Elephas maximus indicus: one gene and its partners. The main gene of each other region encodes a partner of the protein of the gene in region 2 in a complex. Links are inferred from orthologs where the notes say so. Each region holds a gene or a part of one and is shown on either strand. Other genes may lie near its edges. The genes, in order: SMARCD3, SMARCA2, DPF1 and ARID1B.

Region 1 (7,405 bases), on a different chromosome or scaffold from region 2:
GCATCCCGGGGCGCTGGGGGCGGAGGTAGAGCAGAAACAGGCGCCGCGTGAGGCCAGGCCCCTCCCCGAGACCCCCGTGGGCGACCCGATCCCGCGGGCGGCAGAGGGGCAGGGGCGCCCGGACGCGCGCAGCTTGGGAGGAGGTGGCTTTGCGTCTCGCTGCAGGAAGCTAACTGGAGTCAGGCAGAGACACAGGGCGCCCGTGCCCCGAGATGCGAGATGCAGGAGGGACCACAAAAATGAATATGAATGGCGCCTTTCAACCTTTTTAAAGCATATTTTCACATCCACAGGCTCCTCTGTGAGGCAGACGGAGCACGGGCTTTCTTCCCCACTTGACAGATGAGGCAACTGGGGCTCAAGGAGAAAAGCGACCTAGCCAAGGTCACGAAGCTCATCCCGGTAGAGGCGAACAGACCCCTGTTTTCTGAGGGGGCTGGGGCTTCTGCTGTTGCTGTGGCTGCTCTGACTGCTGCCGCCCCTTCCTAGCACTCCTCCCCACCCTCACTCGCTGGCTATTTGGCCTTGCACTCACCTCTCCTCATCTCGACCCCCCATCTCTCTGCGGCCCCTGCTCAATCCCACTCCCTTGGGACTGACTCCCAGTCCCCATACTCAGGTACCAGTTAGCTTCACTAACTTAACCCACCCCCATAATTTGCTCCCAGGGTGAAGACTGAAGGCAGAGCAGGAGCTGACCTTGTCTCTGCGAAGCCTGGGCTCAGGTCAGACCTGCCAGGATGCTGTGATTGGGAGGGGAGGGGTCAGAGGACTAGAGAAGGGGCTGCCAGTGGGCCTGGGGTAGGTCTTACATCCATCCCTCTCTTGCTGTCCGCTGAGATCAACAGGGAAGGTCCCATCCTTATGGACCTCCTCTACCTTTCAAGCCTACCCAGTGAGGTCAGAAGTCAGGGTGCACAGTGGGGGTGGGGTGGGGGGCACATGGAGAAGGAGATGAGGTCAGCAATCCCTGGGTGGTCAGATAGAATGTAAATGAGATGCAAATGCATCAAGTGCAGTGTTCCATGGGCTTGTCAGCCCCAATTGTCCAGATTCCAGAAGAGGGGCTAGGGAGGGCCAGAGGGAGTTTCAGGGGCCAAAATGTAAAGGGTGGGTGGAATGCGGACGGGTAAAGAGAGCAAGGAAGGGGACCAGGAAGCAGGAATGCAGAGGCTCCCCGTCCTCATCATTTGAGCACTACCGCTTCACCCAGAGGACTACAGCTGCCACTAAACGCGAGGAGACGCCCTGACCCTGGGCTTGTGCCCCCTTCAACTGCCAGCTGTCCCTCCTGTCCCGTCAAGCCTAGCCCTAACCTCCCATCCCAGCCAGCCAGCTGTCTCTGCCCATCTCTCCCATGGTGAAACCTGCCTGTGCATGTGTCTGCCTCCCCTGTCCCACCTGACCCTGTCACTCACACCTCCAGGGTGGCAGCAGGCCAGTTCCCCAGCATAGATTGGTCCCTGGGAGTTGGGGTAGGCTGTGGGGGCTCAGAGGCACCCCAAAACTGAAGCTTTAAGGTGGTCATATAAGAAATTCACATATATTACCTCTCCCCTCCTTGAGGGACCTTTTTAAAGGGACTCCCACCCCCAAGCAGCAAGGTTTGTACTGTTAACTTGGCTGGCTGACACCCTCTCTCAGGAAGTTACCCCCAGAGATCCCGGGGCTGGAGGACAGACTGCCCCAGGGAAGCACCTCCTCTCTATCAGTTGTTCTCCCCATTCATCAAGGCCAGGTACTCAGTGATGTGCTGATGAGGCCCGAGATGGAGGCTTCGAGGCTTCCAGAATCCCCAGAGACGGTTCCAGCCAGCAGGCCACCTCCACAAAAGGCCAAGATTCTAGGGACTCTGGCCTCCTTCACTGACAAAATGCCTTCCTTGGGGTCACAGACAAATTCAGCCATAGTAAACCTGTCTGCTTCCTGTACACCCAACTTCCAACCCCTCCCCCTGCCACCCATGCTGGAGCCCCTACCATCTCCCTAGTCATCCCCTCCCATTCTCACAGCCCTCTTCACACCCAGCCTGGCCCCTGCTGACTCAGCTCAGCCTCCTGGTTGCCCTGGGCTCCCTATATGCCTTGGCTGCCTCCCTGTGACAGCATCCTGCTGCTCCGTCCCCCTGATCTTTAGGCCTTCCTTCACACCTTTGAGGCTTGGAAAACATCCACTTCTGCAAGGAGTCCCTCAGGCCCCTTAATAGGGGTCTGCCCCTAGAAAGGGCCTCTAGCTGACCCTGATGAAAGAGACCCCCAGTAAAGCCCCATAACCCTCTGCCAGGATGCGGATGCGGAGGGCATTCATAGCAGTTTCTTGCCACAGTGCTCCAGGGTCACCTGCTCCTTGTTCCCAAGATACAGTGAGAGACACTGTCCCAACGATGAATAGACAGCCCAGCTCAGTCAATGCCATAGCCCCCACCCCGCCCCCAGGGCAGGGGAAAAACCTGGGTCCGCACGGATAAGAAGGGAAGACACCGTGTCTGATACTCAAGGGGCCCCCTACTTGGGACACTCCCCAAGTCCCACCTCCAGCCCCTGACAAGATCCCAGGCAAACGCCTCTCCCTTTCCCGCCTGCGCGCCCATCCCCGGCTGGCCGGCCGGCCGGCCGCCTGCCTGCCGACGTGTTCACGTGCCAGGGCGCGGGCACAGGCCGGGATTGGGCTGGGGGCGAGAGCGCGGGCCGCCTTGGCCCCTCCCGGCCATCCCTCCATTCAGCCCGCGCCAGCTCACGCACCCTCCCCCGCTAACTTTCCCCCACTCACCACCCCATGGACTAGAAACTCAAAAAGTTTGCTTTTCGTGGCTTTGCGCGCCCCTCCGGTAACTTCGTCCGCGGCCATCGGGGTGGGCTCCGCGGCGGAGCTCACTCACTCTCTCTTCCTCTTTCTTTCCCCTTTCTGCCTTTTTTCCTCCAACTCTCCCTCCGAGTCCTGCTGGGCGCTCACACTTCTACTCGAGCCGGGCGGGGAGGGCCCCTTCAGGGCTGCCCTGACGGCCCACGGCCACGCCGCCCGTGCGCCGCCGCCGCTGCCGCATTCCTGCGCCGATAAGACAGAAATAGTCCGGGCGCCCGCGCGCTGTTTACTCGGCCGCCCGAGAGCCGGCCTGCAGCCCTCGCCGTGCAAACAGCGCGCAGATAAGCGAGAGGCGCGGAGCCGACTGCGGCCGGTCTGCGAGGCGGCGGGCGGGGCGGCCCCGCGGGCTCTCTCCGCGGCAAGTGGCCCTCTCAGGGAGGGACTTCGCCGGCAGAGCCAGGCAGGGAACAGCCCGTTCCAACTTTCCCCCCAGTGGCTCCTTCTGCATTTCTGAAGCCCTTTCCCCAGAGACCTGGCAGGCCAGTGCGGGAACATTCACTGGCAAGGACTGGGGGGATGGGTGGGGGGGACTGCGCCTGGAGGAGGCCTGTCCTCCTGCATCGGGCGAGGGGCAGTGCGGTGCCTGCCAAGGCGGCGGTCTCGTGTCCACGGATGTGTGTGCCCTTGTCTCGCACAGCGTGTGCTTATCCCCTCTGTGGGCAAGGCGCTGTGGCTATTTAGGTGTGTGTACAGACAAATGCCTTTTCTATGTGTCTCCCTCCATGAAAGCCTCTGGTGTGTGAGTGTGTGCGTGTGTGTGCGTGTGTGTGTGTGTGGCATGACACCGGCCCTGCCTTTCAGCTCTGTGTGAGTCTATTTCTGGGTATGTGAGTCTTTGTCGCTATGTGAGAAAGTGAGGGCAATAGGGGAAGTATCTGGGAAAGAGGGACAGGGATGGAGCTCATGAGAACAGGAAGAGAAAATGCGAGGGAAGGCTGGGAGCCGGGGTGGGTGGAAAGAATGAGGCAAGCATCACTCTGGCCTGGCTGTGGGGTATGGGTGTGGACCTGGAGGAGCTGGGACAGCTGGAGATGGTGGGGCCACCTTCAAGACCCGAGAAAACAGGGGCTGCGGCTATGAGGGAACCCCAGAAGGGGTGGTGTGGGGGTGGAGAAGGGACAGGAAACAGGAGAGGCAAACCGTAGCTCCCCAGGCTGGAGCCCGGCCCCGCCCATGCTCCCAAAGGCCACACCTCTCTCTCATCCTCTCCGTGGGGTTTTGAGGCAAGCTTTGGATCAACCTGACAGCTTCGTGGGGCTGTGCCGTCCAGATCCAGGTGAGGGCGGGGCAGTGCCTGGGGGAGTTTGTTGGAAAACTGCTTAGCAGTTCTCCTCTGAAGACCTGTTACTACACCAAAGGGGCTCCTGACCCTCAACCCTCCACCATACCTTCCACACACGGAACAAAGAGAACAGGGCAGTGTGCTGCCCAGGTCTTTGCTGCCTGAAGCCTGACTTACCCTGGACCCTGGCTTTGCTCCCTGCTGCCTCTGTCCATCTATGAGCCCCCACCAATGCCCCAGAGGGCCAGAGAGGGTATCCGGATCCAGGGTGCCCCTCCTCTACCCCTGGCTTGGCAGGGGACCTAGAGACCCCCTTCTTACCAAATCTCCTCCAGACCCACATACAGAGAGAATGGGCCCTGGTGGGGGGCCTCCATTGGCCACAGGCCATGGAAGTGGCTGCTGGTAACCTGGGGGGCACACTGCCAAAGCTCCGGTCTACCCACTACTCTCCAAATGTCCACCCTGATTCCCTTTCTAAGCCTCTGCTCTCCCATGCTTTTGCCTGGAATGCCCTCCACCTCCCCTTGGTCCACATCACACCCATCCTTTAAAGCTGGCTCAGGCCATAGCTCCTCCAGGAAGCCTTCCCAGATCCCGCTTGTTCACATGGATCTCTCTTTTCTCTGAAGGCCTGTTGTCCATCCACACTGCCCCGTGCATTGGCACTGGGGTGACGAATGATGTGCCCTGTACTTCATGTGTGTTAGGTTTGGTGTTACTGAATAGGCTGCCGCTCCCTGAAGTCGGACTGGTCTGTAAGTCCCACTCTTACCCCCATGCCTGGGCACAGGGACTCGATAATACAAATGCTGCCTGATGACATTTGCGAGCACTCAAAACTCTGTGGACCAGTGGATGGAGTTCACATTGGCCACCGCCAGCCCCTGTGGGTGCTTCTAGCATGAACATGCTAAATCAACTGGCCTTGGAGGTTTGGTGGAATGGGAGGGTAGACACGTCTAGGCTTTGCGCAAAGCTCAGAGCTCTCAGCTCCTCTTTAGAGAGGAAGAAGTCAGCACAAGAGGTGGGACAGACACTCCAGCTTGGGCAGTTGGGAGCTGAGGGAGAAGCATGAGGAGGGTGGGAGCACCCCACGTTTGTGATGGGGTTGGGAGACTCCGAGATCAAGTCTTGAGGATGGGCGGTAATTAACTGATCTTGGCGGTGGAGGGGGTTGTGGGAGGTGGTTGAACCAAGGGCTGTGATGACAGTGGGGAGATGCTGGGGAGTGTCACTCAAGTTCACAGGTACAAGCCCCCCCTCCCAGTGTCAGGATCAGGCCTTCTCCTGCAGCCTCTACTGGTTTTGCTCCGCTGGGAAACGTCCTTATTCGCGCACAGATACACAATGCCTGCCCCTCTCCGCTTCCCATGCACACACACAGTAATGCAGATGCAGGCGGACAGGAAGGAGCACAGGGGTTTACACACATGGGCACACCCTGACCACTTCCACCTCACACTCACAGAGGCCCGAATTCACGAAGCACGCGCCAGCAGACTTGTGTGCATGCTGCTTTTACTTGGGCGACCATGGTTGTGCGGACACGGGCAGCCTTCAGACCAAAAAGCTGAGGCGGAGAGAGCAGGGGCCAGCTCCCCAAGAGCCTGGCCCAGAAGGACGCTCCAGCGTAGCCTGCTGCAGGCTTCGGCTGACCAGGAAAGCCCAGATCCCACGGGCGGCCCGTCCCCCAGTCTAAATGGCAGCACTCTGGGCGGCAGGGTGCCGGGTGTCCGGCAGAGGCGCCTGGCTCGGCCGGCCGACGTCGCGCCGGCCGGAGCCGGAGTCCCCCCTGCCGTCCCCCCATCTCCCCTTCCCTCGCTGAGCACCGCCGGCACCAAATGGCAACGCGCCTCTCTCCACGCAGGAGATGCGGCCGTGGCCTGCCGGGACGGGATGGCGCGCCCCCGCCGCCGCCGCCGCCACCGCCGCCGCCGCCGCGGCGGGCAGGGCGCGGGCTCCTCCGCCCGGGCGCGGACCCCGGGCGGGCAGCGGCGCCGGCCGGGCATGCGCGCCGGCCTCGCGGTGAAGGTCAGCCCGGGGCCTAGCGGCAGGACTCCGCGGCGGCACGGGCGGAGGGGGAGGGATGCGGGCACTTAACTCCTTCCCTTCGGAAGACGGCCACCAAGGCCTTGGCGGGCCGGTCCCCCCGTCCCCAGCTTCTGTGGAAGTCCCGATGCGGGGACGCAGGCCAGGGCAAGGGGAAGGGCGGGAGGAGGGCGCAAGGGGCCGGCTGGAAGGGGAGAAGGCAGGCTGGAAGGAGAGGAGGGGAAGAAGGAACAAAGGAAATGGAGACTGAAGGGGAAAGGACTGCTTCGGAGAGACCTGTCACTACCGTCCCTTCCCCTAAAACCAAAAAACCAAACCCAGTGCCATCGAGTGGATTCCGACTCTAGCGACCCTAGACCCCAGCAAAATAGCATGCCCACGGAATGGAATTACCCTCACAGATCCTGGCGTGCATGCTTGTGAGTTGGGGTGTTGGGGGGGGTGTGTGTGTGAAAGAGAGAGAAAGAAAGAGAGACTCTTCAAGCTCTGGGGCTAACAGACCCTTTCCATTTCTGTGTTGAGAACCTCTAGGCCCTGGCCCCCAGTTTCCCCTCCAGTCTCTAAACCCCGGTACATGCCAGTGACCTGCCTGGTCTAAGTCCCAGGCCCTAGGCCCAAGGCACCCTGGCTAGACCTTGGAGCCCTGCCCAGCCCCCAGAGATGAATAAAGGGGCATCAGGTCATATGCCTCCCCTCTGGCTACTCCCCTGCTCTCCCAGAGCCCTTCCATGTGAGAACGTTCTGGGCTGGGACTCCTGCTGCTGCTATTAGGGCTGTCTGTCTCGGTGTGACTTTGCCTTTCTGTGTCAGTTTTGCAAACACATGCAGCAACAAAGAAAAGGGAGGACACCAGGATAGCTGTGTGGCCTTGGGTGAGTCGCTGTATCTCCCTGTCCCTCAACTTTCTCAGGGTCAGAGGATTCTGAGGGCCCTTTCTACTCTGAAATCCAATTATTCCATCAGACAGAGACAGGAACCAAGTCAGATGGAGGGGAGGGGGAGAGAAGGAAAGCCAGACACCAGAGAGACACAAAGAAACAGGTACAAAGACACCCACGGACAGAGGGACAGGCACAGAGCAGGCAGTGGTTCTGCTCTTGCTATCAGCACCACCCTCTCTGTGAAGGCCTCAGGGACGCCTCTTCCCAGCCTTCTCCCCCATGCATCCCTCTGTGGCTGCTTTGTTCCTTATCACACATACCTTTGTAG
Region 2 (7,765 bases):
ACATAAAAAAAAAAAAATGACCAAAAAACTCAGAAATAGTCCCCAAATGTGGCTTCTCACACTGGCCAACACTGCTCATCTGTTTACCAGAAATACTGAAGCAGTTTGACTCAAGTGAAGAGGTTTCCAAGGCCTCTTCGTTAGGCCTTAACTAAGTGTCCATCACTTCCCTTAAAACCATCTTGACCTGGAACAACGGGAATCAAAACTTCCGGTAGTAAATCAGGCCCTCTGGGTCCCCCTCAATTTGCCGGTGCTGAGAAATGCTCGTCAGCGTTATATTGGTGAGAATTTAGTCCTTCTCGTGGCAATGTGTCAAGATGTCATAAATAGTGATTTAAATTTCTCTGGAGTATCCAAAAGCTGCTGACCTAGGAGAGTTTGACAAACAAAGGCCTTGTTTACAAAGGAAGACTTGTAAAGGAAAAAAAAGAAAGAAACCAGCAAACACCAGAGGACAGCGCCACTTTTATAATTTATGAAACGCTTCTCTTTTATGGTTTTGTTACAACACCATAACAAGCCTTTAAAATGAAATGCCCAAACATCCCAGTAATCTGAGGGGTATCACGATACTCTCCTGGGGAAAAAAACGAGACATCCTTTTTTATATTGACCGGCAGAATGACTTATCTTAATCAAAGAAAAAACATCTACAATCATTATCTGCCACAGCAGTACTTTCTAGTTATAATATTTTAAGCAGAATTCAAGCATTCACAATATAATGCCAGCTGAGGCACTTTTTATTTTTTATTTTTTTGGCAATGCCAGGCCTCGGGTGTTGGTCAAAGCACTTTTCAAGAAACTTGACAAGAAATGCTCAAAAACCACTTTAAAAATGAACAAAAGAAAAGATCTAAGGCTGCTTTGAACGTAGTGTTGCGGTGAATATTTTCTGAGACACCACAGTGCAGCCAGTCCGGATGCTGGACGCAGCTGCTGAGAGGGGCAGCCACATGGAGGAAAGCTCTCCCTCTCCTGGGCCAGTTCTTCCAGGGTTCTCATACCCCAAACTCCTGGTTCATTTTAAAATGGTCTTTAGTAATATGGCATCTCTCCTTCATGCCTCCAACAAAGCAGACAGATCTCTAATGCACAGGGCATTTCTCAGTCTACTTCAATAAATATCTTTTGAATCTAAGAGATTATAGGGGAGCTAAAAAAAAAAGTCCAGGAGAATAAAAAGGCAATTAAACCAAAACCAAACCAAACCCAGTGCCATCGAGTCAATTCCAACTCATAGCGACCCTATAGGACAGACTAGAACTGCCCCATAGAATTTCCAAGGAGTGCCTGGCAGACTTGAACTGCTGACCCTTTGGTTAGCAGCCATAGCACTTAACCATTATGCCACCAGGGTTTCCAAAAAAGGCAATTAGATTCCTAAAAAATGTGTGTGTCAATTTGCATAACAGTGCACCAACTGGGATTCCAACCAGCCACACCTCTGAACATTTCACTAGAGTGCAAGACCTAGCCTGGAAGCCTTAGGAGTCCAGTGTTGGCCAACAAGCCTACAATACCCTCCCCGCAAAACAACTGATGGAAAATATTTCTGCAAACATGTGAATATGTATATAAATATGTTTGCACACATAACATTGGAGATGGCCTCTATTTTGGTAGTCCTTTCTGAGTCTTAGGTAGTTGGCCAAGAATTTTCTTCTACTCAACCGGCGAGCAACATCCGTTTTGTTTATACAAGCAAGGCACACAATCAGGTGTAAGAAAAAACTGCTTTGAAATGGAAGTTGAAAATTTAGCCCAGCAATTGGTAGCACACAGATGTTAAAAATAACCAGTCACTGCAATAAACCAGCAAACGTGTATCTTTCATTTCTTCACGTTGGATCTGACGTTACACCTCCAGTAAGTAGTCAGAAATACGTGTCTCCATAATGACCAGAGGGCAATGACATCGTTCCATGAAGCACTAACCCGGGCTGCTTGCTATTGCAAAAACCCCAACCTCCACCAGGCTAGGGAAGGGGGGAAAAAGGCGACAACCTGGCAAAACTCTCCCAAAAGTTATATAAACAAAGGAGAAGAGCAGCCCAGCGTGGGCTCCGCACCCATGTGCTACTAAAATTACATAACACACGGTGCAGACATTAACGATGGAATGGATTCTGCACAACACCCCCACTCCCTCGCCTCCCTCCTTCCCGGAAAAAAAAAAAAAAAATCCCCAAACGCCTGGCAAGGCCAACTTGACGGCTCTGAGCATTGATTTGAAGGCTGGAGTAAATCCTGCGAGAGTTTGAGGCGCATTTAGGCCCGAAGTTTTAACATGCAACAGCCCCAGGGAGCAGCGACTCGAACTCCTCCCCAGACTGAAGGAAGAGGGACTGACAGTGGTCGGCGAGGCCTGCTTCTCCCTCCCCGGAGCCTCCCGCTGGAAAGTTTTCCACGCCATCGATCGCAGCCCCGACAGCCCGTGTACCCCGCCGGCCTGACTCTGCAGGAAAGGCGAGCCAGCCCGGAGAGCTGAGGGGGCCGGCAGTGAAAGCGACGGAGAGCTCCGCGCGTAGCGGGCGGCGGCGGCTCAAGCTCCTTACCTAGCGGCACGGAACAAAAAGCGGCGCGGGGCTCTGGGCCGGCGGGGGCGACGCCTAGGTGGCCGGCGCGGGGGTCGGTGGCGAGCGCTAGGCCCGCGCCCGGGGCCCGGCCCCCGCCGCTTCCTCCCGGGCGCGCGTCATGTCACCGCGATCAAACATGTCTGTGCGCTTCGCCGCGGTGACTTCCTGATTCTCGCCGCCCGCGCGCGCACACACTCACACTCGCAGCCACGCGCACACGCCGGCCCCCGCCCGCCTCTCGGGCCTCCCCGGCTCGGAGCTGCCGCCCGCGCCGGCTCCCCGAGCCCTGCACACACTTACACTCTCGCGCGTACCCACCGGCCGCGGGGCTCGCGGCCCCTCCGCCCTGCGCCGCACTTGGCCGCCCTGCCAAACTTTTTTTTCCAGCCTGATCCACCGCCAAGTTCCCGGCGCCCCGCCCCACCCCGGCAGCCCGGCTAGCCGGGTGCTCACCACCAGCCGCCGCGCAAGGCCACCGGATCACCATCAGAAGGCGAGCCAGGCGGCGGGGGCGAGCGCGCAGACACTGGCAGTAGGCGATTTCCCCGCGCGCACCGGAAACCGGCCCCGAGTGCCCGGGCCAGGGCTCAGGGGTCCTCGGAGCCCGCACTGCTGCGCCCGCCCCGCGCAGGCAACCGCGTCCGGGCTGCGTGGCCCGGTGCAGTCCACCCCGGGCACCCGGCTTGGCGGGAGCCCTGCGGCCGGAGGTCCCCAAGGGGCGGGCGTGCCTGCCAGGTTTTTTGGGGAAGTGCATCGCGACACCTTTGCAGATGGCATGGCCGTGTTTTGCAAGGCCAACGAGAGGAGGGCAGGCAGCCAGGTGGCGAGGGAGAGCCGATGAAGGGGCATACTCGGTTGGGATGAGAATAAAGCAAACTCGAAAGCAGGGAGCGAGGAGGAAGGGGTGCGTGTCATCGTTGGGAGGAGGCACCCACCCGGTCTCCCCGCCTCCCGCCCTCGCCAACCCCCCCATCCTTCCCCTCGCAGCCCTTCCCCTTACCCGGCGAACGCCACCGCCGCTGCCCGGGTGCGCGCGGGTCCTGTTTGTGACAGTCAGGCAGAGAGGATTATCCGGATCATGGCCTCTCGGCCAGCAGCCGCTGTGGCTCTCCCGGGCCCCGCGTGCCCCCAGCACCTGGACGATCGCGGGCGCCCCACGCCCGCGCTCCCCGCGGCGCTGGCAAGGGGCTGACTTGAAGCACAAGAAAACAGACCCAGGGAGGGGGAGGGCAATGAAACCAAGCCCGGAGAGCACCTCCGACCTCCCTCTCCCGGCTTCTCCCTCCCTCCCTCCCTCCCAGGTTGCGGCCCGAGCCGGACACCTTGAACTTCAACACCCAAGCCCGCGCCGTCCCCAGGAACCGGGCGCAGGGACTGCCGCAGCGCCCGGGAGGCAGCTCCCCGCTAGCCCCCGTGCCCACAGGCCTGCCCGCCAGTCAGCGCCCCCATCCCCGCCCGAGGGAACTAGGAAAGTGGAGGTGACACTTCCGATCCGGCACGCACCGGCCCGGCGGCAGTGCCTGTCGCCTCCCAGGCGCGCCAGCTCCGGCTCTCCCGCCGCTATCCGCTCTCTCACGTCCCTGCAGCCCGAGCCCTTTAAACAAGTCCCCGGGAGCGGGTGGCAGCCGCGATCGCTGGCGCCCCGCCGCCCGCGAGCTCCTCGCCCTCCAGCGCCCCTTCCAACTCCTCCCGGGAGGACTGCTCGGGATGGATGGTCGCGTTTGCATCCTCCTCCCGTATCCTCCTGCCACCCTCCTTCTCTCCAGGTTTTTAAGGGGTTGGGGGCATTGCAACCTTGCCGAGTGTGTGTGTGTGTGTGTGTGCGTCTGTGTGTTGCAACCTTGACTTGGCAGCGCATCGCCACCTCCTCCCGAGGGTCAAGGCTGTGGTTTGGTGCTTGTTGTCTCTCCTTGCCCCCTTTCAGTCGTAGCGATCCCTGTTATTATTAGCAAGGCCAAGCTCGGTGGAAACTTTCCCGTTTCTTCCACGGCCGCTGGGAGCTGTTGTTAGCGCATTCCACCTGAGGCCCGCGGGGAGGAGGCGGGCTTTTTTTGTTGTTGTTGTGGCGCTCGGCCCGCCTGTTTGTTTTGGTCTCCGTGCATGCACAATAAATAATCATTAGGATCATAATGCATAATCCCCGGCGCAGGCGGCGGCCGCGGGTTTCCGCGGCGGCTGCGGCAGCTGGGAGGCCGAAGGGAGGGGACCGCGGAGAAAGGAGTTGTAAGTTATATTTACCTTGCTCGCGCGGAGTGTGCTGGCTGAATCCCTTCCCTCTCTGAGTCACCCAGAGTACAGAAACAGCGAGCGAGGACTCGATTATGAATATGACTTCATTGATGACAGCCGTCCCCTCCTCTTCCTAAACTCGAGCTCCGCCCCGCGTCCCACCCTCGCCGCCTCCGCGGGCGCCGGAAGACGCGCCGCTGTTGGCCCCGCGCGCCGTTCCTCCCTGCGCGCCCGGGCGCGGGTTGGCCGGGCGAGCCTGTCACTCGCGCAGCTCAGCGACTCCGGGCGAGCGGGGGGGGAGGAGGGGCGGTGTGCAAGAATGTGGCTCGAGACAGCTCGGCCGTATGCGTGGAACAGTGTGTGTCTGCAAGGCGCCGGCTCAGTGCCGCGCGTGTGCCTGGGGCACATCCACTGCGCAGGACGCACTCGGCCCCCAGCCTGCTGGAGTTGGGCTCCCGCGGTCCTTTCCCCGGAGGGCTTCCCCCCGGGACGCCGCGGGCTCCTCTGGGGAGGCTGGAGGAGAGAAGGAGGCGCCGCGAAAAGAAGGGCAGCTCAGTAATAGTGCGTAGTAGTTTGGACTATGTGGAGAAGGTGCTGGAATTTAACTGTGCCTCCGCCTGCCAGAGCCAGCCTGCAGAGAGAAAGGGAGGGGACGAGGGGGAGGGCTCCGGGTGGCACCAAAAGCTTGTTGGTGGCCCAGTGTTGACCAAGGGGGAAAAGGGGCATTGTGGTGCCGGGGGAAACTTTTTCTCTCCACCGCCCCCCCCCCCCCGCGCTGTAATTTTAAATCAGCTCCTTTTTCCCCCCTGTAAACAGGGAGGCGGGCACAAAGAACATTCCTGCCAAATTTGCTCTTCTCCAAAGAACTGCGAGCTTTCCAATGCCAGCGAGGGAGAAACAGCTGAGAGGCTGAACGCCTTATAAATAAATAAGCCCTCCTTAACCCGTAAGAGTCAGAATCAATTCAATGGCAATGGGTTTGGTTTCGGTTTGGAACCCCTCTGTTTACTCCGCGGACTCGTCACAGCCCTTTAACCTTCCCTCGCCTGTCATCTTCACCTAAAATATACACGAAAATATGGTAAACAACCCCGATTGCCCCGAGTGGGCTAGGGAGCAGTTGGAGAATGGAACCTGCGTTTGATTTAAGAAGGGAAATAAATCTCTTATTCTCTGCAAACCGCTGTGTCTTCTTCCCCACCTCACGATTAAGACTAATAACAGCTACACACAGTAAGCTGTTGGCCCTTTGCGATTTAGAGATCTCTTGTTCCAATTTTGCCTTGAAAAGCAGGACTTTGGTGGGACCAACAAGTCAATGTTTGCTGAGACCATTTCACTTTTAGCTTTATGAAGTGTGAAAGAATGTGAGGACATTTTAAATCGAGGGTCTATTATTTTAGACTCTGGTTAATGTAGATGCTTGACTCTCAAAATTACAACTGTTCCTATGTGGTAGTGTTGTGAAAAATATGATTTATCCCTTATTTTGTAATATAATGGCTTAAATTCATCATACAAAGTGCACTGTGATTCTTGGGTGAGGATTCTTCCCTCTGGAGTAAAACCCTATTTTAAAACCATTTTACTGTTGCAAAATTGACTGTGTTTGAGCAGTCAGGACTGAAATGCAGTTCTAGGATGCTCAAAATTATGGACTGGATAAGTCAAAGACAAGAGACAATGGTGAGAACTCCAAATGCTCCCTGTGGTCATTAAGTGGCCTGGATTGTTTACATAGCTGGGCCACTACTGGCTTAGGCCCAGTCTGCAAGGGCACCATTTTATGGTGGTGAGGAGTGTCAACTGTCACCCACTCTAGAGTTTTCCTAGGCCTTGTTACGTGCTTCTTAACTTTAGGTTCATAATTTTCTCTCTCCCAAAGCAAACCTCAAGACAACAAAAGGTAGCACATCTAAGAGAAAGGTATGCTGTGAGAACTGGTTTTTCTGCCTGAGGACATCCAGTATAACTATTAACAGGGAAATATGCAATGAGAAATCTTAAGCAAAGTTAGCAATGTAGTAAAAGTGTGGTAAAAATACTAACCAACTTCTGACTGCCTAATAAATTACAACTAATATAGAGATGAAGAATGCTGTCACCTTCAGAGTCAAAAAGAACATACCAAGATCTGTCCTGAAATACAGTGCTGTCAGTGATAGGATAATATCCCTACTCCCACAAGGAAGACCAGTTGATAAGACTATTGTTCAAATGTACTCACCAGCCACTAATGCCGAAGATGAAGAAATTGAAGTTTTTTTTACCAACCTCTGTAGTCTGAAATTGATCAAACATGCAATCAAGATGCATTGGTAATTACTGATTATTGGAATGTAAACTGTAGAAACAAAGAAGTAGGATCGGTAGTTGGGAAATATAGCTTTGATGATAGTAACCATGCGGGAGATCACATAGCAGAATTTTGCAAGACCAATGACTTACGCATTGGAAATACCTTTTGTCAACAACATAAAAGATGTCTATACACATGAACATTGCCCGATGGAATACACAGGAATCAAATCGACTATATCGGTGGGAAGAGAAGGTGGAGAAGCTCAATATCATCAGTCAGAACAAGGTCTGGGCCAATCATGGAACAAAACATCAATTGCTCATATGCAAGTTCCAGTTGAAGAGGAAGAAAATGAAAACAAGTCCATGAAAGCCAAAGTAGGACCTTGAGTATTTCCCATCTGAATTTAGAGACCATCTCAAGGAGAGATTTGATGCATTGAATACTAATGACCAAAGACCTGACGAGGTGTGGCATAACATCAAGGACTTCATCTATGAAGAAAGCAAAAGATCATTAAAAAGACAGGCAAGAAAGAAGAGATCAAAATGGGTATCTGAAGAGACTCTGAAACTTGTTTTGGAACAGAGTAGCAAAAGTGAAAGGAAGAAATGATGAAGTAAAAGAGCTGAACAGATTTCAAAGGGCTGCT
Region 3 (7,532 bases), on a different chromosome or scaffold from region 2:
AATGCACCCATTTCACGGAGGATCTGATATGTGCTAAGATATAAACTGGCAAAAACTAATCATTATTAGAAAGAATACTGCCAGGCAGAGTAGATGCTCAGTAAATATTTGTTGAAAGAACACATTTCCTGAGCAGCGACTGTAACACTAGACACAGTCCTAAGTGTTTTACAGAGGTTAACTCATTTGACCTCATAACAACCTTCTGGGGCCATACTATTAATGTCCCCATCTTCCAAATGAGAGAAGTTACAAACCTGTAATAACACAACCCTCAGTCCCTGGTGGCTGTTTGAAGGTGGGACTGAGAAAACGGTGCATTCATCCAGACACCCATCCTCACGTGGGCCTTACACCCTTCTGCCTCCCACTGTCACTCACAGAGATTCCACCCTGAGGAACTCCCAGAAAGTGAACTGACCCACCTGGTCACACACACGTGCCAAGCCTCTACACACACACACACACACACACACGCTCAAACGCACACCCACTGCCCGCCTGGTTCAGAGTTTGTGTCCAGGGAGCCGCTGCAGGGATGAAAAAGTGGTGGTCCTACATGCCCACGAACACACTCATCCCCCAGGGGGCACTCCTGCAGACAGGGGGAGGCACTCTAGCCTTCGCCTCTTTTGTAACCTGATGCCCCCTCCCACCATCACTTCTCCACACACACCCCTGCACCTCTCCTCTTAGATCCTTTCCACAAACTGCTCCTCCCTCCCACATAACCCCAATTGGGGTCTCTGCTCCACACCTAACCCAGAGTAGGTGACAAGGGAAGTAAGTGAGAGATGCTGGCACCCCACCTCCACACTCACTCAGGCCTCCAGGCCCCTCTAGTGGCTACCCCAGATACCTTCTCCACAGTGAGCCCTGCCCCCTCAGAGGGAGCCCTTGCCACCACCTTCCTCTCTCACCTCTCACCCCCTGCACAGATCACCAGCATGCCCTCTCACGCTGGCTCCCCCACACCTCCAATCTCAGACACCCAGCTCACCCTCACCTCACATGAGAAACCTTGCATCAGTTTGAGTCAGGGGAGCCTGCGCACGTAGACACCCATCACCTCTCCAGAGGTGCACCAACAGGATCTGAACCTACAGAGCCAGGCTGCCACTTGGAAAGACGTCTCCCCTTCCATACCCTAAGTCACCTCCAAAGACCCCTCCCACGTGCTCTCCTACACACTTGAACACCACAGTCCCTCCCCTGTCCAAAAACAGTCCTCCCCTCCCCAACCCTCTGTGTCCTGTATGGGAGCTGGACGCAATAGAAACCAGTATTGATATCACCCCTAATAATCATACACTTAGCTGGGGTCAGGTGCTATACTGAGTGCTCATAAATACCACCTTATTTAAGCCTCACAGCAGCCCCATGAGTTAAAAAGAACTATAAAACCAAAAAGAAAAAACCGGTTGCCTTTGAGTGGATTCCAACTCATAATGACTCTATAGGTCAGAGTAGAACTGTCCCACAGGTTTTCCAAGGAGTGGCTGGTGAATTCAAACTGCCAACTTTTGGTCGGCAGCCAAACACTTAACCACTGCGCCACCAGGGCTCCAAAAGAACTATTATGCGCCCCAATTCACGGATGGTAAAACTGAGGCTGGAGGCGGGGAGGGCATTAATGGCTCAAGCTGGGGTTTGAACTCCCGAGGGCTTCGCTCTCCAGCCCCCTGCTCCCAAGGAGATTTGACTCTCATATTGTTTCAGGAGAGAGTCCCTACCCTCACCCGTGCAGACCCCTGGGAAGGGGAGAGCGGAGAGGGATGCTGGCACGCCCGCCTCACACACTCTGGCCACCAGGCACCCGCAGAAGCCAGGATGCCTGTAATCCACCACCAGGCACGGGAACCCTGTTCCCAACTAGTGTAAGGGTGTCCCTCGTAGGAGAGGCATCTGCCTGTGTGTGCAGGTGTGGGTGGAAAGGAAGCACACACCATAGCACACTGACCCCGGCCCCATACACCCCCTTCAAGCCCTCTTGGCCCTCACCAAGCCACACTTGACGGCTTGTGCCTATAAGCTCCCACCCCCTACGCACCCTCCACTCCCAACTTCCCCCTGCCAGAAGCGACTGGGAGCCCTTTGATCCAGCCACCACGCGCCACCCTTCTCGGGGTCACTCCCTCTCCTCTCCTCCCGCCCCCCGCCCCGCCCCCGCCCACTGCACTCATTGCTCAAGGTCAAGGAGGCGAGCGCGGGGTTGGGGGAAGGGTGGGGGAGGTCGTCCCGGCCCCTTTGTGCGGCGCCGCGGGAGCTCGCCCCCCGCCTCCTCCCAGGCCGAGGAGGGGGAGGGGAGTGCTGCGCCCGCCTGCCAGAGAGGGAGGACGGGAGCGGCCGCGCCTGTCACTCCGAGCCCGCTGTCACCGCCTGGGGAAGGGGCGCGGGTAGGGGGGAATGCCGGGACCCGGGAGTCCGGGATCCCGAAGAGGGAAGAGGAGAGGCGGAGAGAGCGAGCAATGGCAAGGAGGGGTAGGGACGAGAGGGAGCTAGGCGCGGACCCAGGCGTCCGGCTCCACGGCGTTGGGCACAGGAGAAACCTAACGCTGCAAGCAGTGACGCGGGCAGGGAGGAAGGGAAGGGATCCCCGGAGGGCGAGGGCGCTCCCAGCACCCCCTCCGGAGGCTCCCTTTAGATGTGTATGGGCGAGGAGGGGAAGGGATCCTCCGGTCTAAGCTGACCTTAGTGTCGGGGCTTCTTGGTCCTGGGCCAGGCCTAAGACCCGGAGAGGAAAAGGGGGATGCAGCGGGGATCTAACCGGGGACCCCCGAAGCCTCAGCCCCCACCCTGCAGCCGCTTGAGCCCGGGACCCGGGAGAAGGAGGGAGGAAAGAGAGAAAGGCGCCTTGATGAGGGGAAAGAGAACGGTGGAGACCCCGGAGACCGAGGTCGGGACCCAAGCCGGGGGGCCCCAGACAGATGGTGGAGGAGGGGGAAGCCCCTAACTCCCTGGGTGGGGAAACTCGGCCTCCGCCCCCCGCCCCCAGCCCGCGCCACATTCCTTCACTGACAGCGACAAAGAAGAGGCGCCCCCGCGGCCCCGAAGGGGCTCCCGCCCGTAACTCAGGGGGCGACAGGGGGCGCCGGGCCCCCAGGGGCAGGGGACGTGCTGGGGGGGCCTCGAACCGCGGTCTGCGCGCTGCGACCCCTCCCCAGCGAGGGTGGGGGAAGAGCTCCTGGGAGGGTTCCGGGCGGGGGCGGGGGTGGCTGCGGGGACTCACGACTTGAGCGGGTTCTGAATGGCGGTGGCCATGGCCCGCTCGGCGGGGCCGCCTCCGGCCCGGGGCGCCGCTCCCGCCGCGCGCGGGCCCAGCCCGGCCTGCGCCGCCGGCTCCGCCGCCCAGCGCGCTACGATTTCATTCATTCTTGGGGCTGCGGCGCGAGCCGAGCGGGGCGGGACGGGGGCGGGGCTCGGCCAATCCCCGCGCCTCCAGGCGCACGACGGGACGTGGAGTCCAGGGGCGCGCAACGGCGCCCGAGGGCGCCCGTGCCCGGACTACACGTCCCAGGGGGCGCCGGGAGGACTGCGCGCCCATTGGCTGCTGGGGATACAGGGCGGGGCGGGGCTCGCCCCCCAGAGGCTCAGTCCCCCTCCCTGGGGATGCTCCATCCCCGACTCGCGCTCCCCATCCTCCAGGCATCTCGGGCGCTGGCGCAGGTGGTCCTCCACTTCTGGGCCTCCCCAAGTCTGTGGGTGACCCGAGTCTGTCGTGTATTTTTGTCTGTATCTGCTGGTCCAGGTGCCTCTTCTGTGTAAGCCAGCTGTCGTCAAGCACAGGGGTTAGTTGATGTCTTCGTTCGTTCATTCAGTGATGTCAGACTCTTGTATGCGCTGGGGATACAGCAGTGACCAAAGCGGACAAAGTCGCTGCCCTCAAGCAGCTGACATTCTACTGAAGAAAGACAGATAATAAACAAGAAAAGAAATAGATAAGATCATTTGAGAGAGAGAGAGTGCTATAAACAAAACAGGTTGATTTGAGCAGAAGGTGGCCTCTGTGAGGAGGTGGCATTTGAGCTGAAACCTGAGAAGGTGCAAGCCCCCCCGGCTGAAAATAGCATCCCCTATAACTCTGTCCCTTTTAACTACTTTACTTTTCTTCCAAGCACTTATCATAGCCTGTCATCATATCATACATCTGTTTGGTTACTTGGTTTGTTGTCTGCCTCTGTTCATTAGAAGGAAACCCTACTGGCACAGTGGTTAAGACCTATGGCTGCTAACCAAAAAGTCGGCAGTTCAAATCCACCAGGTGCTCCTTGGAAACCCTAAGGGGCAGTTCTCTCTCCTGTAGGGTTGCTATGAGTTGAAATTGACTCGACGCCAATGGGTTTGTTTTGGTTGGTTTTCTTCATTAGAATGTCACCTCTATGTTATTCCATCTGCTACTGCCTCCCCAGTGCCTAGAGCAGGGCCTGACAAATAGTAGGTGCTATTTTTTTAAATGGGGTCCCTCGGTGGCACAAACGGTTGAGCACTTGGCTACTGACTGCAGTTTGGTGGTTCGAACTGGTCCTACCCCATCTGGAGCAAGAGAGAATGAAGAAAGCCAAAGACACAAGGAAAAGATCAGCCCAGAGGACTAACGGACCACAACATGCCCAGGCGCAGGGGACCATCAAATGCAAAGACCCTGAAGTGGGAGCAAGGTTGGCACATTCTAAGATCAGCAAGGCTAGTGTGGCTGAAGCAGAGTGAGCGAAGGGGTAGACAAGGTTGGGGAGAGAGAAAGGACCCAGATCATGTAGGGCCTCGTAGGCCATTATACAGAGAATGGATTTTGCTCTAAGTGCAATCCATCATCCGGACTTTTCTCTTTTGGAAGTCCATCAGCAAATCCTGTCATCTCTATGTTCATAAAATGGATCCAGAGTCCACCCACCCCTCTCCACTTCCTAACCCCCATCCTGGTCCTTTCCACATTGTCTTCCGCCTGTACTATCACAGCGGCTCCATCGTCGGTTTCTGGCCCTGCTCCCGGTCTGTTCTTCCCATGGCAGCCAAAGCAGGCTACCTAAAACACACATCACAGCACGCCACTCTCCAGCTCAAAACCTCCAACGGCCTCTTTCACAATTAGAATAAAATGCAGTGTCCTCACGGTGCCCTCAAGGGCCTTCTCAATCCCCCCGAACCTCCATCACATTTCTGACCTCATTTCCCTCCTTCTTCCCTTGACTAACTTTGCTCTGGCCACACTGGCCTCCTCCCTGTTCCTGGAATAGTCCAGGCCTGCTTCAGCCACAAGGCCTTTGCATTGCCTAGAAAGCTCCTTCCCCAGGTACCTGCATAGCTCCATCACTCACTTCATTCAGGTCTCTACTTAAATATCACCTCCTCAAAGGCTACACCAGCTAACATTGCATCCCCTACAGCTCTGCCCCTTTAGCTACTTTACTTTTCTTCCAAGCACTTATCATAGCCCATCATCATGTCCTGTATCTATTTGGTTACTTGGTTTATTGTCTGTCTTCATTTATTAGAATATCAGCTGTGTGAGGGTGGGGATGTTGTCCCATCCACTGCTGTCTCCACATTGACTAGAACAGGGCCTGACGGATAGTAGGTGCTGTTTTTTAAATGGGGTCCCTCGGTGGTACAAACGGTTAAGCACTGGGCTACTAACTGCAAAGTTTGGTGGTTCTAACTTGTCCCACCCCGTCTGGAGCAAGAGAGGATGAAAAAAACCTAAGACACAAGGGAAAGATTACTCCAAAGGACTAATGGACCACAGCTAGCACAGCCTCCACCAGCCCGAGTCCAGCACCAGAGAGTACCCAGCTAAAACCACCAACTGCTCTGACAGGGATCACAATAGAGGGTCAGAGCCGGAGAAAAATGTAGACCAAAATTCTAACTCACAAAAAAAGGCCAGACTTACTGGTCCGAAAGAGACTGGAAAAACCCCAAGAGTACGGCTCCCAGACACTCTTTTAACTCAGCACTGAAGTCACTCCTGAGGTTCACCCTTCAGCCAAAGATTAGAGACGCCCATAAAACAAACGATAATACACAGAGCTCAACCATGTACACAAGACTAAGTGGGCACACCAGCCCAGGGGCAAGGACGAGAAGGCAGGAGGGGACGGGAAAGCTGGACAAATGGAAATGGGGAACCTAAAGTCGAGAAGGAGAGAGTGTTGACATATCTCGGGGCTGGCAACCAATGCACAAAATAATACGTCCATTAACTCTTTAATGAGAAACTAATTTGCTCTGTAAACCTTCATCTAAAACACAGTAAAGAAAAGAAGAAAAAAGTTTGATGGTTCGAATCTACCCAGAGGCACTGAGAAGAAAGGCCCAGCCGTCCACTCCTGAAAGATCACAGTCGCTGAAAACCCTGTGGAGCACAGTTCTGCCCTGACACAAGTGCGGTTGCTACGAGTTAGAATCGACTTGACTGCAACTGGTTGTTGTTGTTGTTTTCTTTAGTATTTGTTGAATAAATAAATGAAACCAATTACTCATTATGCCCAGTGTCCAGCCCTGAGGCGTGCAACTGGTGAGGGGTGAGAGCAAGGTGACCCAGGCTGTGCGCTCCCATGCATGGAGACCTGGACAACGGAAGCAGGGGAACTCTATCAAGGAATCCTGCCCAGCAGAGGGCCTGGAGCTGAAGCTCAAAGGGGAAGGTTAAGCACACTCACTAATTTCTGGAGTGCTATGGACCACAGATCCACAGCCATAGCGATCCTAGAGGACTGGTGGATTTGAACTGCCGACCTTTTGGTTAGCAGCCATATCACTTAACCACTGTGCCACCAGGGCTCTAGGGTTGCCATGGTCAGAACAGACCTGACAACTGGCTGGTTTTTTTTTTTTTTTTTGGTTTATGGACCACAGCCCTGTGTGATCATGCTAGGGACACCCCCTGATGGAGACAACCCCAGGTTCTGTCCTGAGGTCACAATCTAGTGGGGCAACAGACCCATCAGCAGACAACAACAGCCCAGAGGGGTCAGGGTTGGGATGAGGGAGGCACAGGCAGAGGGATCAGGCCTGGCGTGGGGGAAATAAAAGGGGATGTGGGAGTCCAGAGAAGGCACCTGACCTAACCTGGGGGTCACGGAGGGCTTCCTAGAGGAGGGGACGGCTGAACTGTTTGTGAATCCTTTAGCATTCTAAATCTCTGACCTCACAGGGCAGGGTTCCTGTCCCGACCTCTTCGGGTCCTGATCCCTAATCTTGTTACTCAGCCTTGGAGGCCAACGCTGATCCTGGAAGTCCCAGTCTTTGGGCCTTCTCCCAAACCCTGAGACCAAGGATGTGGCCACCAGAGGGCACTGTGGCTCTAGTCTTTGTGCCCCAGAGGCTGCTCCAGAATTCTCAGACTGGAATCCTGAGAGCCTGAGAGACATGGCAGGCTTGGGGTCGGTCCCCGGTGGAGACACTAAGCCCCACATTGGGCCTCAGACCCTGCCCGGAACCTGGTCACCACGGTCTAACCTCCCTGTGGACCCAGAATCACTGGGAGACCCTCTGCTCCAGACTCCTTGGGGCCCAGCTGGAACCTCAGAGAG
Region 4 (7,545 bases), on a different chromosome or scaffold from region 2:
GAAGCTTGAAATTTTTAATTTTATATTAAATATGTGTTCTAATACGGCTCAATTGTTCCCCCCCCCATGGTCAAATCTGTAAAGGGCAGGCTTTTAGAAAAGCTTTACGAATCCCATAAAAGCTTTCTGAATCCAAAAATTGGTTAAAAATTCCTGGTTTCCTTATGTTTCAATTAACATATCCTCACCCTACAATTAAAGTCCGTGATCTATGCAATGTTCATACTGAAAGGTTGTCATCAAAGAACTTAATTTTGCAAATGCTCAACGCTAGACACCAGCATAATGTTTTTATATACTTAATCTTCTTATTAATAACTCCGACTCATAATAAATGAAGCTTTAAATCATATTCAACCTTACATCTGCTTGCAATAGAGCTGGGTTATTATTTGTGGCAAGGATTTTTGTGACTGTACTGCCGAGCACGTCTATTTACATCAGCAGCGCTAAATGCCCAATGGTGAGAGGGGAGCCAATCAGATGGCGGATTAGATGTCAACTCCGAGGCAGCTGTCTGGAGACTCTTACAGCCAGTTTACCTCCACAATTCAAATTCCAAACCTCGCAAAGGAGATCGAGTCAGTCTTTAGGCTCAGCCTACCAGCAAGAAACAGCCAGAGTGCAGGACACTTCCCAATAACGTCGTGGGGCTGGGGTGACAGCGGAACACAGAAAATCCAAATAAATACGACCCAAATAGCTCACTGCCACGGGTCTGGCATGTTACTGGATTTGCCTAATAAAAGGTTTGCAGGATCCTCGACCAAAACAAGTTCGATTTATTCGGAATGTGGTCCTTGAACACAGCCTCTGTGAAGGTGACTCCTTTCGGGCTGCCCCTGAGCCGAAAGATGGATCTCACTGGCTGTCCTTAGGAAGGAATCGATATATTTTAGAGTATTTTGCCTCCACGCAGTTGCACGTTTCGGTATTATTTTCGCTCCTCAACGTTCAGGCCGGCAGGCCGCACCGAACATCCGCGAGTGCTCTAGTTACAGGCGGTTCTCCACAACCAGGAGCCGCACACTCGGCTGGTCAGGAAGCTAGCTCACCTCCCCTGCCGTTCCACGCGACGTGGTTGGAGGTGGAGAAAGTTCTCCGTCCTTCTAGTTAAAGCGCAGCGCTAGCGCTAACCAGGGAATCCGGTCCCCGTTCCCCTCGGACCCACTGGCGAGGGGAAGGCTGCCCCACCAAAGCGCCCGAGCCGGCCCCGCCGCCCCAACTGCCTCCCCGCGGCCGAGCGCAGGCCTGGGGGCTGGGGCGGGGTGCGCCGCCTCCATGGTGCCGCCGGCCCGCCCGCGCGTCCCCGCCGAGCGCCGGACCGCGAGGCGGACATTGTGCGCGCCCCGGCCTCCCGGGCGAGGCGGCCGCGAGCGAAATGGCTCCGGAATCTCGCCCCCACCTCCCCCCGAGAGGAGACGGAAAAAAAGTAAACCCGAAAGAAAGAAACTAGGGCCGCGAGCGCGCGAGGCCGCCGGGCGGAAGCAGGCCCGGCCGGCGCGTTACCTGGGGTCGGCCCATGGGCTGTCCGGGGTGGCCGGGGCTCATCGCCGGGTGGCTCCTTTGTTGCGCGGCCGCCCAGGCCGGGCTGGCGGCGGCGTACTGGGCGCCCAGGTCCTTGCCCAAGCCCATGCCCGCGGCCGCCTGCTGGCCTCCCGCCGCCGCCGCCCCCGCCGCCGCCGCCGCCTGGGACTGGGGCTGCGACGGCGGCGGCGGCGGCGGCGGCGCGCTGGGGCTGCTGTAGTCGGGGTAGCTGCCGCCGTAGCTCCTCATCATGGGGCTGGGCGAGGTGAGCAGCTGGTTAAGGGTCGGGGTGGCCCCCGACGGGTGCTGGTTCTGCCCGGCGAAGCGCTGGAAGCCCCCCGCCGCCGCGCCGGCGGCCGCCTTGCTGAGGCTCGCGGCCCCGCCGCCCCCGGGGCCCATCATCATGCCGCCGCCCTGCTGCCGGGGGGAGCTCAGCGCCCCGTACCCCGCGGCCGAGCCCCCATAGCCGCCGCCGCTGCCGCCGCCTCCTGCTGCTGCTGCCGCCGCCGCCGCGGCCGCCGCCGCCACAGCTCCCGCTCCCGCTCCTCCTCCTCCTCCTCCTCCTCCTCCGCTGCCTCCTCCTCCTCCGCCGCCGCCGCCGCCGCCTCCCGCGCTGGGCCGGCTGTAGCCCGGATAATGGTTGTACTGGCTGTTAGGGTACCCTTCGTGCGAGTTCTGCAGGGGCTCCATGCTGCTGGGGGCCCCGGCGGCGGCTGAGGCAGAGCGCATCATGCCCATCCCGGGGCTTTGTTGTCCGCCATGTTGATCAAAGCAAGGCCCAGCGCGGCCGCCGGGGCCGCCGCTGGCAGGGGCAGCGCTGCCGTAGTAATTATTAAACTCCGGGACGGCCGCCGGGCCGCCGCCGCCGGCGCCCCCGGGCACGGCGCCGCCGGACACGGCGCCCCCGGGCACGGCGCCCCCGGACACGGCGCTCGGCGGCGGCGGCTGCGCGCCCAGGGCGCCCAGGCCCGGGTGCTCGTAGCGGCCGCCCGCCGGCTCCCCCATCTTGGGCGGTGCGTCGTCCTCGTCGCCCGGCTTGCTCAGCAGAGGCTGGCCCGGGGCTTCGGCCTGGCTGCCCACGACACTGTCCTTGCCGCCGCCGCCGCCTCCATGTTGCGGCTGCTCCATGTCGGGACCCGGCTGAGCCGCGCCGCCGCCGCCCGCGCCGTGGTGGCCGCCGCCGCCGAGGCTGTTGTTGTTGGAAATGGGATGTTGCTGCTGCTGCTGCTGCTGCTGCTGGAACTGGTTTAGCTGCTGCTGGAGTGCGTGGTGGTGGTGGAGGTGGTGGGCATGGTGGTGGTGGTGGTGGTGGGCATGGTGATGGTGGTGGTGCTGCTGGTGGGGCGGTGCAGCGGGGGCCTCGCCAACGGCTTTCAGTTTGTGGTTGGGGAGCAGCCCCGTCTCCATGGCCGAGCCCGGGACCGAGGCGGAGGAAGAGGAGGACGCCGCCGCCGCCGCCGCCGCCGAGGAGGAGGAGGACAGCGCGGCGGCGCTTGCACTCTCCTTGAGAGCCGCCTCGGAGCCGCCGCTCTTGGCGTTACTGCCGGCGGCGGCGGCGGCGCTCGCGCTGTGGGCCATGTTCAGTTCATTATGGGGGTGCAGGGGGTGGTGGTGCACATTATTCAGGCCGCCGCCGTCGCCGCCCCCCAGCATGGGCCCGGGCGCCGCCGCGCCGCGCGCGCCCGCCTCCGGGTCCCGGGCCCCGAGCGCCGCCGGCCGCGGCCCGGGGGGCGCCCGCCGCTCGCTGCTGCCCGCCCGCGCCCGAGCCGCCGCCGCCGCCCGCGCGGCCATGATCGCCGGCGAGGCGCGCGAGGCTGGCGGCGGGGCGGGGGGACCCGACTTCAGGCCGCGGCCCCTCCTGCGCGCATCCCACGCCCGCGCCGACTCCGGCGAGCCCCCCCGGCCGGGCGCCTTACGAGCAGCGGGTCGAGCCTCACGGTCTGGGCCTGTTCCTGCTGTGGGCTCTCATGGTGAAAGTTTTGAGTTCAGGTTTAAATGAAACTTTTCTCCTTTCCTCCCTAACCCGGATATGGGTACACACACGGCTGCCGGAGCCTATCGGGCCCAGCATGGCACGCGAGGGAGCCGCGCGAGCCCGAGCAACTATTATCCACTTCTGATTACTCCGCGCACTCGCAAAACGCGGACTGGACTCAGCCAGCGCCGCCGCCGCCACCAGCCGCCCGCCGGGCGCACGTCGCCGGGCACCGGGCTGGCCGGCCGGGCCGAGGGCGGCTGCACGCTCCCCGGGCCTCGGTCTCCTTGCCAACCGGGCGTTCGCCGGTTTGTTTTCCCATCGAGAAGGCACGGTACAAAGGTGGAAAACGAGTCTGACGAGCAGACAAAAGAGAGAAAAGGGCTCGGGAACAAAGTTGTCTGTCGAACTCAAAGGTTATGAAGAACCGACGGAAAAAAGAAAAATATTTGGGTAATCTGTGCAAAAGCACTGTGTCTTCCAGTAGTTGTGTCATTTTTCAGAATCTTAGCCCCTCTGATTTGATTTTGGTCCCTCCACGTAGTTCCCACAACTTTTTCAAACGGCAAAATGAGGAAACGTTTCCGGTGAATTCCAGGAGCGCTGTGCCCTGTACACAGCAGGTACTCAATAAATGCTTTCCTTGTGCTGTACCTGCCCCAAAGATACTGTTGATATAACTAGTTTTCAAGGCACCTCGCATTTGCCTCTAGGCTTATCAATGAAAATTGCTCCACAAGTGTATGTCCTCTGTTTAAAGGGAAAAAGCCTCAAAGACGTCGAGTGGTATGTTATGCTCCAAACAACTTTCCGACGAAAGCTTAACTCCTAGTGCCGTCGTAGTAACAGCTAATGTTTAGCTCATGTCTTCATAAATCCGTGTGGCACCTTTCGTCATGTTTCACAGGTTAATGTAAACAACCTTCCTGATAGGAGCTCATTGTTGAGTAATGGGAAACAAAACGAAAATAAATACTAGACATTGTCTTTAATAAATATAAATATAAGATCAGTAATATAAAATGGTCCCATCAAATCCTAAAGTAGAAACCTTTCATATTTTGTTCTTTAAAAAATATCTATTATCACTTCACAATGTTTTAAATGTTTTGCCGATTTATCACTGTACTAGTTTAGATATCTTTGACAGCAGGACCTCTTAACCCAAGCAGTGGTTACCTTTTACTGGTGTGCACTCTGTTTTCATCAAGAGAAAGCATTTGAAACCAGAGCTTTCAAGAGGTCAAGCTGGCTGAAATAATCTGTATGATTTTGGTAGAATGTAGTTTTGCGAAATCATTTCATTCTCCAACTTTTGTCAGAAGTAGGTTAGTTTGTTTCAACTGCCCTGGTTATTTTTGTTTGCCTCACCAAGTGTAAGTAAATATGTTACATGCCTAAAAAAAAGGGATAGACTGGAAAAAACTGGGGGCTAATTGTGGGTGGGAGGGGGAGATCAGGTGCACACCCAAGGGTCATTATCCAGCATGGAAACGACAAATTGCAATTCTCCGCAAACAGCTGGAAAACCAGGGTCACATCATCATGTGTAAGAGAGGATAACAGAACTGTAAGATGAATTCATGCCAAACCATTCATCAGTTTTGCCAGGAGACTACTACATCTTTGTTAGTGTGCCTTTTTGACATTTTCTCCTGGATTTTCTCCTTTTATACATTCAAATACATACTAATTATACACATAAGTTGAATTTTGAAAGTTTTTCATATGCAAATATAACTGCATGTCTGTTTTGTGTTTGTGTGTATATTCCTATAAAGTCAGTTACATATTTATGCTTTTAGACATTCATCATCAAACTGAATATATACACATAATCATAAAATTGCATTTCTTCCAATTGATAAAATATATCAAAGTCAATTCATATTTTGTGGCTTGTTTTCACAACTGATCTTAAAAGGGAAAATGAGTCAACAAGTTCAGCTTTGACCCTTTTCATGAAAAAATTTTTTTATGTACAAAAATAATGAAAAAAAATTTAGGTATGTAAGTCGGTAAGTGTCTTTTCATTCCATTTGCTCCAGCAAGTCAACTAGAAGACTGGAACCAAGAGGCTCTGAAACAGAGGCCCTCAGCACAATGAACTCAGTCTGCTATAAAAGGCAGCGCATGCCAGCTTTTCCTCCCCAGTGGCAGATGCCACGCCCTGAAGCAGACAGAAGGCACTGCAGCCTGGAAGAGAAGCACAACACAAAGCCAGCAGGACTGGGTTTTGTCTTTGAAACCACAGAAAAATGTTCCAATACCTCTTTTTTAGCATCTTTGCTGAAGATAAGTAGTGGCCTTATATTTTACTCAACTGACACTTTTCAAACACCTTTCCAGGAAGACAAAATAAAAGCCTCTTACAGTTTCATTAATAAAAATAAAAACAGGGCTTAAGAAACAAAACAGCGCTTGTCAGGGGTCTGCTATCAAGTAATGAAATACTTTCAGATCTCACAAAAGCACACTTTCAGCTAGTGATGAGCATTCGTATTGTGTCACTTGCCTCAATTATCCTATATGACAACTCTACATTATTGTTTCTTTTGGAAGGAGCCCTGGTGGTGCAGTGGTTAAGTGCTCAGCTATTAACCGAAAGGTCGGCAGCTGGAACCCACCAGCTGTCCCTTGGGAGAAAGATGTGGCGTTCCGCTTCTGTAAAGATTTACAGCCTTGGAAACCCTATGGGGCAGTTCTACTCAGTCCTATATTGTCGTTAGGAGTCGGAACTGACTCGAAGGCAATGGCTTTGGTTTTGGTTTGTTTGGGTTTCTTTGGGAAGAAATAAGGTACTAGCAATCACTGAGTTCATTTTTCCCAGTGAATTTCTTATTTTTACACCTCTTGCCTAAATTTCAAACCATAATGACAACTTTAATAAGTTACTCTAACCACAAAGACCCGCGGTGGTACAGGCCCAAAAGCTGCCGAGTGGCCAGGCCTCGCCTCCAGCAACCTCCCAACCACAGATTGCTCCCCACGCCTTCGTGTTTAGCCTGAGGATTACCCATTATTTTGCTAAACATTCCTTCTTGGTTACAAAAAGGGTTTTTTATTATATGGAAATATTAATATTCAAATAACTGCTCCTTGTGAATAAGTTTTGGGGCAATGAATAAAAGACACTTCAGCGTGGCCACTTAAAGAGGATTGAGCCAGATGGTAGTTTAAGAATTCCACAATTCCATTCTTTTTACCTCTTCGTTGCCCATCCTACGCTGTTTGCTTTCAGATTAGCCCCCTTTTACTGTTCGACTTATTTCTTCGGTGACTGAAACTATCACGACTCACTACCCATCATATTTCTCAGTATTCTTTGCATAATTTGGAAGCAATTTAGAATAAAGCCCTGTCAAGATTTACAAATAAGAACTATTAAAGAATAAGGCTTTGGATACTTGCTTCCCTTTTAGATTTATGAGACATGCAATGAATGGAGCTGATGGGATTTCCCTACTGATCTTGGTCACGGACTTAAAAAAGTACTAAACAATTGTCCCTTTCACTTCCCCGATTTAGACATTAGCAGTGAATAACACTGAGTAATTGCAAGATATGGGATATAGCCTTTGATTTGGAACAACGATGCAAATTAACAGGGGCCCATAAATTCAGTATGCAAAGCAATTGTAGCATTTGAGAAAAGTCTAGGCAAAAAATAATTTTAACAAATTTGGGAACCAGGAAAACCAGTTGCATCATTATATTTACTAAGAATATGATAATGAGGACGGTAAACTTGGATGGGGATAAACTAGCACTTACTCATTCAACAAATTTCTTTAGAATCTGCTTTGTCATGCCCTGAAAATAAAAAGATAAACATTACCTGGTTCCTGTCTTGAAGGGCGTCAGAGTCTAATAAAGGAGACAAACAATTAACAATTGCACTAAAATATACTAAGGGCTGCCCTTGAACCTCATGGAGGATTTGGCCAATTTAGAGCAAGCTCAGACTTCCCCATAGGTCAGCAATCCCTGTAACTGAGCCTTGCTGTTGACTGCCATCAGCCTAATCTGACTGCATCTGGCAC

Evidence for each region.
Region 1: SMARCA2 (region 2) and SMARCD3 share a complex: the UniProt entries of both Homo sapiens proteins name them as parts of the BAF complex. The link is inferred for Elephas maximus indicus from reciprocal best matches to the Homo sapiens genes SMARCA2 and SMARCD3.
Region 3: SMARCA2 (region 2) and DPF1 share a complex: the UniProt entries of both Homo sapiens proteins name them as parts of the neuron-specific chromatin remodeling complex. The link is inferred for Elephas maximus indicus from reciprocal best matches to the Homo sapiens genes SMARCA2 and DPF1.
Region 4: SMARCA2 (region 2) and ARID1B share a complex: the UniProt entries of both Homo sapiens proteins name them as parts of the neuron-specific chromatin remodeling complex. The link is inferred for Elephas maximus indicus from reciprocal best matches to the Homo sapiens genes SMARCA2 and ARID1B.

What each region holds. Positions count from the first base shown.
Region 1 is NC_064838.1:11,925,276-11,932,680, reverse strand, and holds the start of SMARCD3 (SWI/SNF-related matrix-associated actin-dependent regulator of chromatin subfamily D member 3), read right to left. Parts: upstream 3,304-7,405; 5' UTR 2,848-3,303; coding exon 2,770-2,847; intron 14-2,769; coding exon 1-13. UniProt on the Homo sapiens protein: Involved in transcriptional activation and repression of select genes by chromatin remodeling (alteration of DNA-nucleosome topology).
Region 2 is NC_064827.1:8,528,055-8,535,819, forward strand, and holds the start of SMARCA2 (probable global transcription activator SNF2L2), read right to left. Parts: upstream 3,282-7,765; 5' UTR 3,070-3,281; coding exon 2,901-3,069; exon of another isoform or gene 2,883-2,900; intron 2,848-2,882; exon of another isoform or gene 2,562-2,847; intron 1-2,561. UniProt on the Homo sapiens protein: ATPase involved in transcriptional activation and repression of select genes by chromatin remodeling (alteration of DNA-nucleosome topology).
Region 3 is NC_064829.1:113,379,419-113,386,950, reverse strand, and holds the start of DPF1 (zinc finger protein neuro-d4), read right to left. Parts: upstream 3,262-7,532; coding exon 3,230-3,261; intron 1-3,229. UniProt on the Homo sapiens protein: May have an important role in developing neurons by participating in regulation of cell survival, possibly as a neurospecific transcription factor. Belongs to the neuron-specific chromatin remodeling complex (nBAF complex).
Region 4 is NC_064819.1:228,892,352-228,899,896, reverse strand, and holds the start of ARID1B (AT-rich interactive domain-containing protein 1B), read right to left. Parts: upstream 3,207-7,545; 5' UTR 3,181-3,206; coding exon 1,510-3,180; intron 1-1,509. UniProt on the Homo sapiens protein: Involved in transcriptional activation and repression of select genes by chromatin remodeling (alteration of DNA-nucleosome topology).